3 linked regions of the Ovis aries genome follow. Each later gene encodes a partner of the first gene's protein in a complex. Links are inferred from orthologs where the notes say so. Each region holds a gene or a part of one and is shown on either strand. Other genes may lie near its edges.

Evidence for each region. Proteins that work in one complex are often made in the same cells at the same time.
Region 2: LRRC23 (region 1) and NME5 share a complex: the UniProt entries of both Homo sapiens proteins name them as parts of the axonemal radial spoke complex. The link is inferred for Ovis aries from reciprocal best matches to the Homo sapiens genes LRRC23 and NME5.
Region 3: LRRC23 (region 1) and DYDC1 share a complex: the UniProt entries of both Homo sapiens proteins name them as parts of the axonemal radial spoke complex. The link is inferred for Ovis aries from reciprocal best matches to the Homo sapiens genes LRRC23 and DYDC1.

The regions. Positions count from the first base shown.
Region 1 is NC_056056.1:209,392,594-209,396,105, reverse strand, and holds part of LRRC23 (leucine-rich repeat-containing protein 23), read left to right. Parts: intron 1-128; 5' UTR 129-178; coding exon 179-301; intron 302-385; coding exon 386-495; intron 496-899; coding exon 900-1,153; intron 1,154-1,967; coding exon 1,968-2,098; intron 2,099-3,512. UniProt on the Homo sapiens protein: Essential for sperm motility and male fertility. Plays an important role in the proper assembly of the third radial spoke (RS3) head and the bridge structure between RS2 and RS3 in the sperm flagella.
Region 2 is NC_056058.1:47,235,899-47,239,926, reverse strand, and holds the start of NME5 (nucleoside diphosphate kinase homolog 5), read left to right. Parts: upstream 1-1,224; 5' UTR 1,225-1,281; exon of another isoform or gene 1,282-1,715; 5' UTR 1,716-1,758; coding exon 1,759-1,887; intron 1,888-4,028. Other genes in the region: bromodomain-containing protein 8-like, read left to right, coding at 464-514. UniProt on the Homo sapiens protein: Functions as part of axonemal radial spoke complexes that play an important part in the motility of sperm and cilia. Does not seem to have nucleoside diphosphate kinase (NDPK) activity.
Region 3 is NC_056078.1:34,793,951-34,798,110, reverse strand, and holds the start of DYDC1 (DPY30 domain-containing protein 1), read left to right. Parts: upstream 1-1,356; 5' UTR 1,357-1,635; intron 1,636-1,668; exon of another isoform or gene 1,669-1,832; intron 1,833-4,160. UniProt on the Homo sapiens protein: Functions as part of axonemal radial spoke complexes that play an important part in the motility of sperm and cilia. Plays a crucial role during acrosome biogenesis.

The sequences.
Region 1 (3,512 bases):
CACAGGGATGAGGAAAGAAGCATGGCTGGCAGGAGATCTGGGAGGGTGGTGATAGGGTGATGGAAGGGGTACCCATTAATGGAGGTGAGGGAGGAAGCATTGGCTAACACTGAGATCATCTCTCTCAGGGCGAGGACCCAGCCTGATCTGACTCCAGAGCCTTCAGCAGGGAAGACAAATGTCAGATGAAGATGACCTGGAAGACTTTGAGCCAGACCAGGATGATCTGGAAAGGGAAGATGATGACAAGGAGACAGAGGAGTGGGAGGACTACAGGAAGGAGGGAGAGGAGTCCGAGGATGTGAGAACTTGGAAACGGAGGGGTCTGGGCTTAAGGGCTGGGGTTGGGCTGGAAAGGCAAGCCTGAGTCCGCTTCCTCCTGCAGTGGATATCCACACCCCTCACAGAGGACATGATGAAGGAAGGGCTTTCTCTGCTCTGCAAGACGGGTAATGGACTGGCTCATGCTTACGTCAAGCTGGAGATTAAAGACAGGTGTGTTTATGGGGGGCCAGAAGCGGGCCGAGGTTGTGGGGCCTAGTCTCCTTTCTCACCCTCCATCATGGGTGTTTTGGCTGAGTTTGGATCTCTGTCATCCTGGGCCAGCTAAGAGGGAAGGATAGAGTCTACTTCTCAGGACGCTGTGACCCCCTGCATCAGAGCTGGCCTGCGGCATTGGAGGCCGTAAGGGGATAGGGTGGGGTGGAGATTCCAGCTGGACTCTCGCATGTCCTTCAGAGTTGAGAGCCCACCCACCTTCTGCTTCCCCTCCCCGACTCGCCCATCTGTTAGTCGCTCTTCTCTCCACTCTAAGCCATCTTCACGCTGCCCTCTGCTTTAGCACCTCCGACAGCCCTTGCTGGATTCTTAACCCTGACCTGGCCTCTACCACCTCCTAGGGATCTGACAGACATCCACCTCTTGCGTTCCTACATCCATCTGCGATACGTGGATGTTTCTGAAAACCACTTGACAGATTTGTCCCCACTCAATTACCTCACCCACCTGCTCTGGCTCAAGGCCGATGGCAACCAGCTTCGGAGTGCCGCCCTGAACGAACTGCCCTACCTGCAGATCGCCAGCTTTGCCTACAACCAGATCACCGACATGGAGGGCATCTCTCATCCTCGTCTGGCCAGTCTGGATCTCAAAGGTGGGGCCTTAGGATGGGCCTCGCACAATTCCTTTCTCGCCTGGGGCCAATAGCAGTGGGCAGCATGGCCCTTGGCTGTGCGACATAGCAACCTACATTATTCACTCCCTCGTTCAGACACCCGTGGTGGTTCACGATGACAGTTCTATGTGCTGGAGATGTAGGAGTGAACAAAACAAAGAAATTCCCTATTCTTGCATAGCTTACGTTCTAGTCGGGGAAGGCAGGCAATCATCGATGATCACAATAGTTAATTTTATTTATTTTTTGGCCGGTGCCATGCAGCATTCAGGATCATAGTTCCCCAAGTAGGGATCGAACCAGTGCCCCTGAGTGGAAGTGTGGCGTCTTAACCACTGAACCACCAGGGAAGTCCCAACGATCACAATAAAGAAGTAAATTTTTATAAAGTATGTTAAAAGGAGATAAGTGCTAAAAAAGAACAAAAAAATAAAAGGAGAAAAGTACAATGGAAAAAATAGATCAGGGTAAAGGAAATGGGTGGGGGGAGGTGGCGATTTCAAACAGGTTGGCTAGGACAAATGTCATTGGGAAGTTGACACCTAAGCGAAGACTTGAAGGAGGAGAGGGAGTTAGCTGTATGGATTGTGGGGCACGCCTCATTCATGCCTCAAAGACTTAGGTGGGCACATCCCTTGGGCCCTTGGATCCCATCGCCCCAAGGCCCTGTGGGTGTTACATCTGGAGGTGGCCCTCCTCGTATCCACCTGGCATTAGAGAAGGTGATGCAGAGGCTCTATTGCTGAACACTCAGGGTGGCCCTCTGAACCCTTCACACCCTCCTTCTCCTCAGGGAACCGCATCCACATGGTGACAGGTTTGGATCCCCAAAAACTGATCAGCCTGCACACGCTGGAGCTTCGGGGGAACCAACTGAATAGCACCCAGGGAATCAACCTCCCTAAGCTGAAGAACCTCTTCCTGGTAGCGCCCTGGGTCACAGGGTGGTGGGTTCTGGAAAAGGGGCACTGTCCTGGGGGGCCAGGATACCAGCTTTTTGTAGGTGGTTTAGTTGCCAAGTCGTGTCTGACTCTTGCAATGCTACGGACAGAGGAGTTGGCCAGGCTCCTCTGTCCATGAGATTTTCCAGGTAAGAATACTGGAGTGGGTTGCCATATCCTCCTCTAGGGGATATATCCTCCTTCCCGACCCAGGGATCAAATCCTCTTCTGCACTGCAGGTGGAGTCTTTACCACTGAGTCACCAGGGAAGCCTGGCTTCTAGTGGACTCACCTACTAACTTCATCCTTATGATAACTGACATTATTTCCAAACACCAAGCGTTTGCTGTGAGGATGCAAAATCCAAATAGACAAGGTGTTCACCAATTAACAGGGCTAACAATACACAGCGTGTGGATGACATAGAGACAGTTTGCTTTGATATAGGTTGGGACACCATGTGCATAACTGAGGTGCAGACATCAGGCTAAGGCGGCCACTTAGGTGTCTAGTCTTTTAATTTTTTTTTTTTTTGGCTGGGCCACACGGCATGTGGCTCTTAGTTCCCCAAACTGGGCTCAAACCTGTGTTTCCTGCGTTGGGAGTCTTAACCACTGGACCACCAGGGAAGGTCCTGTGTCTAGTCTTTTAAGCCCTTGAGCTTCTTCATTCCAAAATGCTGCTGAAGCCATGTCTCCTTGGTGGAGCAGTGAGGCTCTTGGGCTGGGGGGTAGTGGGGGTGGGTTGAAGCATCTCCTTCATCAGAGGTGGCTGTGGTGGGCTGGATAGTAGGATTTACTGCTAACCTTTCTCTTGGTTGAAAGCTTCTCCTGGATTCTTTGCTATCTACATGGATCTCTACTCACCTCCACTCCCCTTTCTCACCCTCTCTACCTCTTAGATTTGCTGTTTTGCAAATCTAAGTAAAGAATCTGCCTGCAATGTGGGAAGCCTGGGTTTGATCCCTGGATGGGGAAGATCCCCTGGAGAAGGGCATGGCAACCCACTCTAGTATTCTTGCCTGGAGAATCCTCATGGACAGAAGAGCCAGGTGGGCTACAGTCCAGGGGGTCTCAAAGAATTAGACACAACTGAGTGACTGGCATGCACACGCGTGCACACACACACACACACAATTCATTATTGGCTGTGCTGGGTCTTCATTGCTTTACTCCAGTTGCCACGAGCAGGGGCTACTCTCTAGTTGTGGTGCAAGGGCTTCTCACTGTGGTGGCTTCTCTTGTGGAGCACAGGCTCTAGGGTGCCTGGGCTCAGTAGTTGTTGTTCCCAGGCTCTAGAGCACAGACTCAGTAGCTGTGGCAGGTGGGCTTAGTTGCTCTGCAGCATGTGGGGTCTTCTCTGATCTATGTCTCCTGCACTGGCAGGCAGATTCTTTA
Region 2 (4,028 bases), on another chromosome or scaffold:
AATGACCTTGTTCTCCCAGAGTTTATGTTTAGAGGTGATTCAAGGCCCTGAAGGGTTGATATTGTTACTGCTCCTCTGTGGAACCAGCTTTAATAGATGGTGAAGTAAAATACTCTAGGAAGGCAGGCAGCAGTAAAGAGCTCTTAGTGACCTGGGGATAGATAAGGAAGTAATGGGTGCATCTACTTCCAGAGCCTCAAGTCAGAGGGCTAAACATGAACACCTGAGGCTGGAGTCACTGTCCATTTTTTGACACTATGTTGGTATTAATATATGTGCACATTGTCCCATCTGTAGAAGATAAGATATGGTAGCCAGAAGACATTTGAGGGTTTGTTTTTTGGGCAGCATCTTATTGATACTTTAAAGAAAAAAACATGGTTGAATCTCTGCAGAGAAAGAAATAAAATTGCATTCAAACCTCCATAAAGATTCATAGCTGCTATCTGCCTTGACCCTGTAGGTGCTGAGTATTTGGTTAGACAAAAGAAGAGACTTAAATAGTCTGGAATGAAAACTAACCAACCTATGGATGATGGAAAACCTGTTTGGCTAACTTGGAGCTGCTTTCCTGAACTTTTCTGGATTTTGGACCTTTCTTTGAGACTCTGACTTATTGAAGATCCCAATACTTGCTTACCATTTTTCTGTTGTCTTTTCTAATAAGAATTATACCTTAACTTACAACCAAAGAGTTAAAGGTGCTTGTGGACATGATATAAAGAAAACACAGAAAACTGAGATTTGGGGTTATGCCATATATGTTGCCCACATTTTTGTTCTGTAAGGTTAATTTAGAGATAAATAGATTAAACTTCTTTAAATAAATACTGCTCTTTAAATAAATGTTAATTCACAAGTCAAAAATTACCTTTTAATGAGTATAGAAGCTGGCAGTAGAGGGGATAACATTGTCTGGTGAAATATGGAAGGTATCTGACACAGATTTTCTTACATAGAATGGAAGGTGCTGGGGGTAGGATGAGGGAGAGCACCAATGATTTATCTCATCATTTGTAAAGTGGAGATAATACAAGTGTCCTTTGAATGACTAGGAGGATGAAATAAAATAAATTATGAGGAAAATGTTAGAAAACATCTACTGCTTTTAAGATTTGCAAGGGGATAAAAATCCCTGTGGTGGGTTCCCTTTCTTGGCTAAAAGGAGCTAGCCAAAGACTGAAGTGCTCTACTGGAATTGGCCCTCTGCAGCCACCGTCTCTAAGCTGGGTTTCTGGTCTCCTGGCAACAATCTGTGACACTAAAGGAGCCCAGGCTAAGGTGAGTGCCCAGATGAGGGCCGGACTCTGAAGAAATCTGGGGTGCAGCCCACAGAGATCCAGGGGACCCAGGAATTCTGCTTTCCAGCCGGGCCTTACCCTAAGCCTCCTGGTGGCGGGAGGGGGTGGAGAGAGGGTGTGTGTGTGTGCACTGTGGAGGGTGGTGCTGAGTGGCGTGGAGAGTTGCAGACCTAGTCTCCTCCTGGGCTCCTCGAGTCCTCGGCTTTGTCTTGCTCCTTGGGCTCTCCTAACTTAATGAAAGCACCTAGGAAAACCCATGGCAGGAGACAGAGTAAAAATCTTATTATTGAGACACTGCTTGTGGAAAAAACTCCGACAGTTTCCAGCTTTATAAATTAATAAAAATCAAGCACCTGATAATGCTGTTTAGTCACAATTACATTAAGTTGGGGGTGCGGGTGCATGTCATTGCAGTTGATTCGCGTGAAGGACCTTAAATTGTAGCTCAAAAGCCAGAATGGAGCTATCAATGCCCCCACCTCAGATCTACGTAGAAAAGACTCTGGCTATTATCAAACCAGATATTGTTGACAAAGAGGAGGAGATACAAGATATTATTCTCAGATCTGGATTCACCATTGTTCAGGTAACTTCTGGGCAGTATGATCATGTTTTTTCCCTCTCTACTGAACTAGACTTTTCTGCCTTAGCTTTTAGCTAAAATAGAATTAAAAATTCACTTTATCTTAAATAAAAGGTATGTTTGAAAGCTCTTCTTACTCATAGAGTTATATCCCTAAACTTGTTTTAGAATACCTTTGATTTTACCTTTTGAAAATGTTTATGTATATGTGTTAGCCCAGTTCAATCCTTCGTATTTAGCATGAAATTTAGGTTTACTCTTCTGAATATAAAAGTTATATGTGATAATTTTCCAAAAAGTATTTTCACAGTTTAAAAATATATAAAATGAGAAGTAAAGCTTCTTTCTCCCATCAACTCTCAATCTGCAGAGACAATCACTTGACACTTTATTTTCTTCCAGAATTTTTGTGTGCATTTACAAATATGTTTCCCCCATAAAGTAGGACAGTCGCCCTCCCTGGACCCTCTTTACCCTCCCTCAGATAGCATGCCAGATCATTACTTCTGAATCTAACTTCTGTGTAAATACTCTTCTGTCCTAATAAACCACAGTTTATTTACTTGATCTTCTCTTGATGAATTTTTAGACTGTTGAGTTGTGTTTTTTTTTTTTAATTTAATGTTTTAAGCCTTTTCCTTGTTCTGCAGTTAGTAGTTTGAATATATAAAGACTATCAAATAGAATGGAATATTTTTAATTTTCCTTTTTTGTACCATTCTTATTTGAAATTTCACTTTTTATTATATTTATTGACTGTCATATTGCTTGTTGAGTCTTTTAAAAAATAAAAAAGATAACTTCAGTCTTCAGAAGATGGGTTTTTAAATGAACTTAGAAGGATACGTGGAGGCTGAGGGTGAGATGCTACAAGAAAATTTAAGGGAGTAGTATAAGGGAAAGTATAAAGAAATAATATAATTAAAAGATTCAGATAAAGATGAGCTTTTAAATAAATGTTAGGAAACTGGGTAGCCACTTAAAAAAAAAACTTGGATTCAAATATTACACTATATATACCAGGATAAATTCCAAATGAATTTGACATTTAAATATTAAAAAACTAAACCATATAAACTCTAGAAGAAAAATGGCTGAATTTCTTTTTATTCTCGGAAGGGAACAGCCTTTTTACTGGGTACTGTAAAATAAAAGATTGATAAAAATATAAACATAAAAAACTTGAGCATGGCCAAATAAGCATAATAAGCAAAGGCAAAACACAGGTGACAAACTTGGAAAAAATACTTGTAACTCATAAAGAGTAATCTCCCAAATGTATAAAAAGCTCCTAAAACAGGATAAAAATTCGGTTGAAAATGGGCAGTACATGTGGATGGTCAAAGAAATAAAAATGCTTCTAAAACATGGTAAAGGATGCTCAATCTCTAAGCAGGAAAAAAGCAAATTAAAATGACACTGAACTACCATCTGGCAAGAATATAAAAGTAAATGACATAACCCCTATGGAAGGGAATCTGGCGATTATCTATCAGTATTTACAGATGCATCTTCCCTTTGACCCAGCAGTACTACTTCTGGGAATCTCTCCTATAACTTGTGTATTAATATGCAGTGACATATATCTAGGTAATTTTTTGTAGCATTGTTTATTTACAAGCAAAAAATTGAAAATAACCCCACATTAGGAAATTGGTGAAATTCACCCTGACGAATTTGCCAAATTGAATACTATGCAACTAATTATAAAAAGAGCAATGAAGAACCTCTCTGTGTCCTGCTAGGGAAAAAAGCAAGATGCAGAACAATGTGTAGCTTTTTTCTATGATAGAAAGAGAAAAAGTAATATATATTCATGTTTGCCAGTATTTACAAAATGAATTTAGAAGAATTTAGAAGAATTTACAAAATGAATTTTAAATAAACAGTAAAAAATGATTGCATATAGAAGGTAAGGAAGAACAGGCTGAATTAGGACAGGAATGGGAATGAAATTTTTCAGTATGAACCTTTTTATATTGCTTTGAATTTTTTAATCCCTGAAGTATGTTACTCATTAATTTTAGAAGAAAGACAAAACATACAAATAAGATAAAGTTTCCAATTTGATTTTTAGAAGTTTGAAAAGAATTAGTGAAAAAATAATTAAGCAGCAAGCAATAATTAGAAATTAAAACTTCTTA
Region 3 (4,160 bases), on another chromosome or scaffold:
GGTAGTGGTGAAGGGAGGGGATGGGGATGTGTTGGTGGCTGCTTCTGCCAATCTGTGACTAATGCACCTGAACCAATGCACCCAAGTAAACTACTTTCTACACCCCTTCTCATCAAAGTGTGGTCATTGCATCACCTGGGAGTTGTTGAAATGCAGATTCTCAGGTCCCACCTCAGATTTACAGATTGAGAGTCTGCATTTTAACAGAATCCCCAGGTGATACACAGTTACAGCTCTCCTTTGCCTTAATCCCAGTACAACTACCCTTCCCAGGGGGTGGGATCACCAAGTTTGGAGCAGATCGTTTATCCAGTTTGCCACACTTACTGCAGTGTGGCAGACACTGAGGACCAAACGCTGAAGAGCCTTCCATCTGTCAGTGCTCCCGCTGGCACTTATTATCTCAATCAACATTTAGTGAAGCATCTTGTGCCCAGCACTGCCCCACATAAACTGAAACAAAACATGGGAAATGCTAGCCAAGAACTGTGCGAAACAACTAGCCCAGGGAAGGCTGCAGATGGTGGGGGAGATGAAAAAGGTTGGAAGACTTCCTGGAGGTGGGGGCACCCGGGCTCGCTCTGAAAGTAGTGCCAACTAAAGAATGTCTCCAGCCAGCTGGCTCCACAAGGACTGAGTCATTAGCAGTTGTTAACTGGTCACTAACACAGCCTGAAAAGAGTTCAGGGTGGAAATCAGGAATGAGATACTCCACTTTCTGGGAAAACTGACAGAATAGACCTTCAGACAGAAACTTTCAGGACAAAAATTTACAAACCCAATTTCTTGCATCTTACATACTTAGAAAAGCCATAAAATAATTAAACTGTGTGTGCTTGATAACTAGCAGTAGACTTTTACCTAGATATATGTTTGACTGCAGGTACCCGTTCTCCAAATCTCCTATACGCTGACCTCTGCCCTCACCTCTTCCATGCTGAAGCAGTTTCTCAGAGTTGTCTGAGAGGCTGTCTGCAGGGCTATAATCCTCAGTTAAGTCCCCAAGTAAAACTGAATTTACAGCTCTTAGATGTGCTATCCCCACCCCCAGTGGCCAGGATCCAAGCAGAAGTCACCAGCAGGTGCGAAAGCGCTAGGCTGAGAAAATACCAGGATGTTAGATTGCTACACTCTTTTCTGGCCTTAAGCAGTGCGGGCTTCACCTACCGGTAGCCTTTGCGCACATCCACTCCCGCCCCTGCCCCGCCCCGCCCCGCCCCGTCCCGGTCAGCCTCTGTCCTGGCTCTCTCCGTGTGCACTGCGCTTGCCAGTCTCGCTTGGTCAATTCCCCTTTTTGGCTGGCCCCTCCTCAAAGCCTCTAGATTGCACATCCTGTCTCTGCTCACGTACCCTGGTGCTTCCGGCTCTCCATCCAGCACCCTGTACACCTTGGGCGCAGCCTCCTCTCAGCTGCGCATCCTACCTTCCACTCCTCCAGCTTCTCCTCTCTGCAGCATCTACTCCGCCGCCGCCTCCAACCCTCACCATCGCTCACGCCCCGGCCCGCGCCTCTTCTGACCTCAGCCCAGCGTAGTCAGCTCAGCTCTCAGCACGCACTCTTCTCTCTCGGACCCAGGCAGTCTCCAGCCCAGGGGCGCGCGGGCTCATTGCCTAGCAACGGGACGCTATCTGCAGGTAGGTAGGCGCATGCGTCAGGCGCCAGCCTCTAGAATGCAGGCGCCTTTTGGGAAGAACAGCTTCCGGTGCTGGGCTGGTTTCCAGCCGGCAGAGGCAGCTTTGGCCCTTGGACCCTGCCAGTGGTGCGACAGAGGAATAGCTCAGCGCAGGGAGGCAGCTCTGTGGCTGAGTCCTACTCCTCTTCCTCCTCACTGGTGAGCAGCGCCGCGCCTTTTGGAGGGGCAGGGGAGGCGGGTCTGGAATAGAAAAGCTACCGAAGCTCTCGGAATCCAGGTCGGTAAAATTCGGGGTACCCAGTTAAATTTGAATTTCAGAGACATAAGAAATTACTGTTTAGTACATGTATAGTAGAGTGTATAATACAAAATCGTTTCTTGTTTATCTGAAATTTTAAATTTAACTGGCCACTGTATCCGATCCCTTCCTCTCCCACTCGGCCTGCTTTCTCCCAAGCATGACCGAGGAACCTCTGTTTCTTTGGACAGCTTCGCCAGGCTTCAGTTCAGTTCAGTTCAGTTCAGTCGCTCAGTCGTGTCCGACTCTTTGCGACCCCATGAATTGCAGCACCCCAGGCTTCCCTGTCCATCACCAACTCCTGGAGTTCACTCAGACTCACGTCCATCGAGTCAGTGATGCCATCCAGCCATCTCATCCTCTGTCGTCCCCTTCTCCTCCTGCCCCCAATCCCTCCCAGCATCAGAGTCTTTTCCAATGAATGAACTCTTCGCATGAGGTGGCCAAAGTACTGGAGTTTCAGCTTTGGCATCATTCCTTCCAAAGAACACCCAGGACTGATCTCCTTTAGGATGGAGGGTTGGAGCTCCTTGCAGTCCAAGGGACTCTCAAGAGTCTTCTCCAACACCACAGTTCAAAAGCATCAATTCTTCGGCGCTCAGCCTTCTTCACAGTCCAACTCTCACATCCATACATGACCACAGGAAAAACCATAGCCTTGACTAGACGGACCTTAGTCAGCAAAGTAACACCTCTGCTTTTGAATATGCTATCGAGGTTGGTCATAACTTTTCTTCCAAGGAGTAAGCGTCTTTTAATTTCATGGCTGCAGTCACCATCTGCAGTGATTTTGGAGCCCCCAAAAATAAAGTCAGCCATTGTTTCCACTGTTTCCCCATCTATTTCTCATGAAGTGATGGGACTGGATCCCATGATCTTCGTTTTCTGAATGTTGAGCTTTAAGCCAACTTTTTCACTCTCCTCTTTCACTTTCATCAAGAGGCTTTTAGTCCCTCTTCACTTTCTGCCATAAGGGTGATGCCATCTGCATATCTGAGGGTATTCATATTTCTCCTGGCAATCTTGATTCCACCTTGTGTTTCTTCCAGTCCAGCGTTTCTCATGGTGTACTCTGCATATAAGTTAAATAAGCAGAGTGACAATATACAGCCTTGATGCACTCCTTTTCCTATTTGGAACCAGTCTGTTGTTTCATGTCCAGTTCTAACTGTTGCTTCCTGACCTGCATACAGATTTCTCAAGAGGCAGGTTAGGTGGTCTGGTATTCCCATCTCTCTCAGAATTTTCCACAGTTTATTGTGATCCACACAGTCAAAGGCTTTGGCATAGTCAATAAAGCAGAAATAGATGTTTTTCTGGAACTCTCTTGCTTTTTCCATGATCCAGCAGATGTTGGCAATTTGATCTCTGGTTCCTCTGCCTTTTCTAAAACCAGCTTGAACATCAGGGAGTTCACGGTTCACATATTGTTGAAGCCTGGCTTGGAGAATTTTGAGCATTACTTTACTAGCATATGAGATGAGTGCAATTGTGCAGTAGTTTGAGCATTGTTTGGCATTGCCTTTCTTTGGGACTGGAATGAAAACTGACCTCTTCCAGTCCTGTGGCCACTGCTGAGTTTTCCAAATTTGCTGGCATATTGAGTGCAGCACTTTCACAGCATCATCTTTCAGGATTTGAAATAGCTCCACTGGAATTCCATCACCTCCACTAGCTTTGTTTGTAGTGATGCTTTCTAAGGCCCACTTGACTTCACATTCCAGGATGTCTGTCTCTAGGTGAGTGATCACACCATCGTGATTATCCGGGTCTTGAAGATCTTTTTGTACAGTTCTTCTGTGTATTCTCGCCAGGCTTAAGGCAGCTGTTTCTGTGGGAATGAGCTTTCTTATGTTGAGCCAAGATGCCTGTTGGTGTGTCTGAAAAATATGCCTTACAACTGGCTGGGTATTTTTGCTGTTTCCTGGAGAGGAAGCAAGCCGAAGGAAGTAAGGAGTTTCACCTGGGTTCGGTTGATGAGCAGATGCAGCCGGCTTCTGTTGGAGACCAGTCCTCCTTGGGCGGTTTCTCCTTTCGGAGACCAGGGTTGTCTCCTCCTGTGTTCGCTTTCTGGAGCTGCAGCAGGAATCTGTTCCAGATTTCCTGCACTGCAGTCAGATCCTTCACTGCCCGGGCCACCAGGGAGAAGTCCTTTAGAAATTGCTAGTGTGTTTCAGATGGAATTGAGATGACAATGTAGTTATTTTTGTCTTTAGAGCATTATCCCA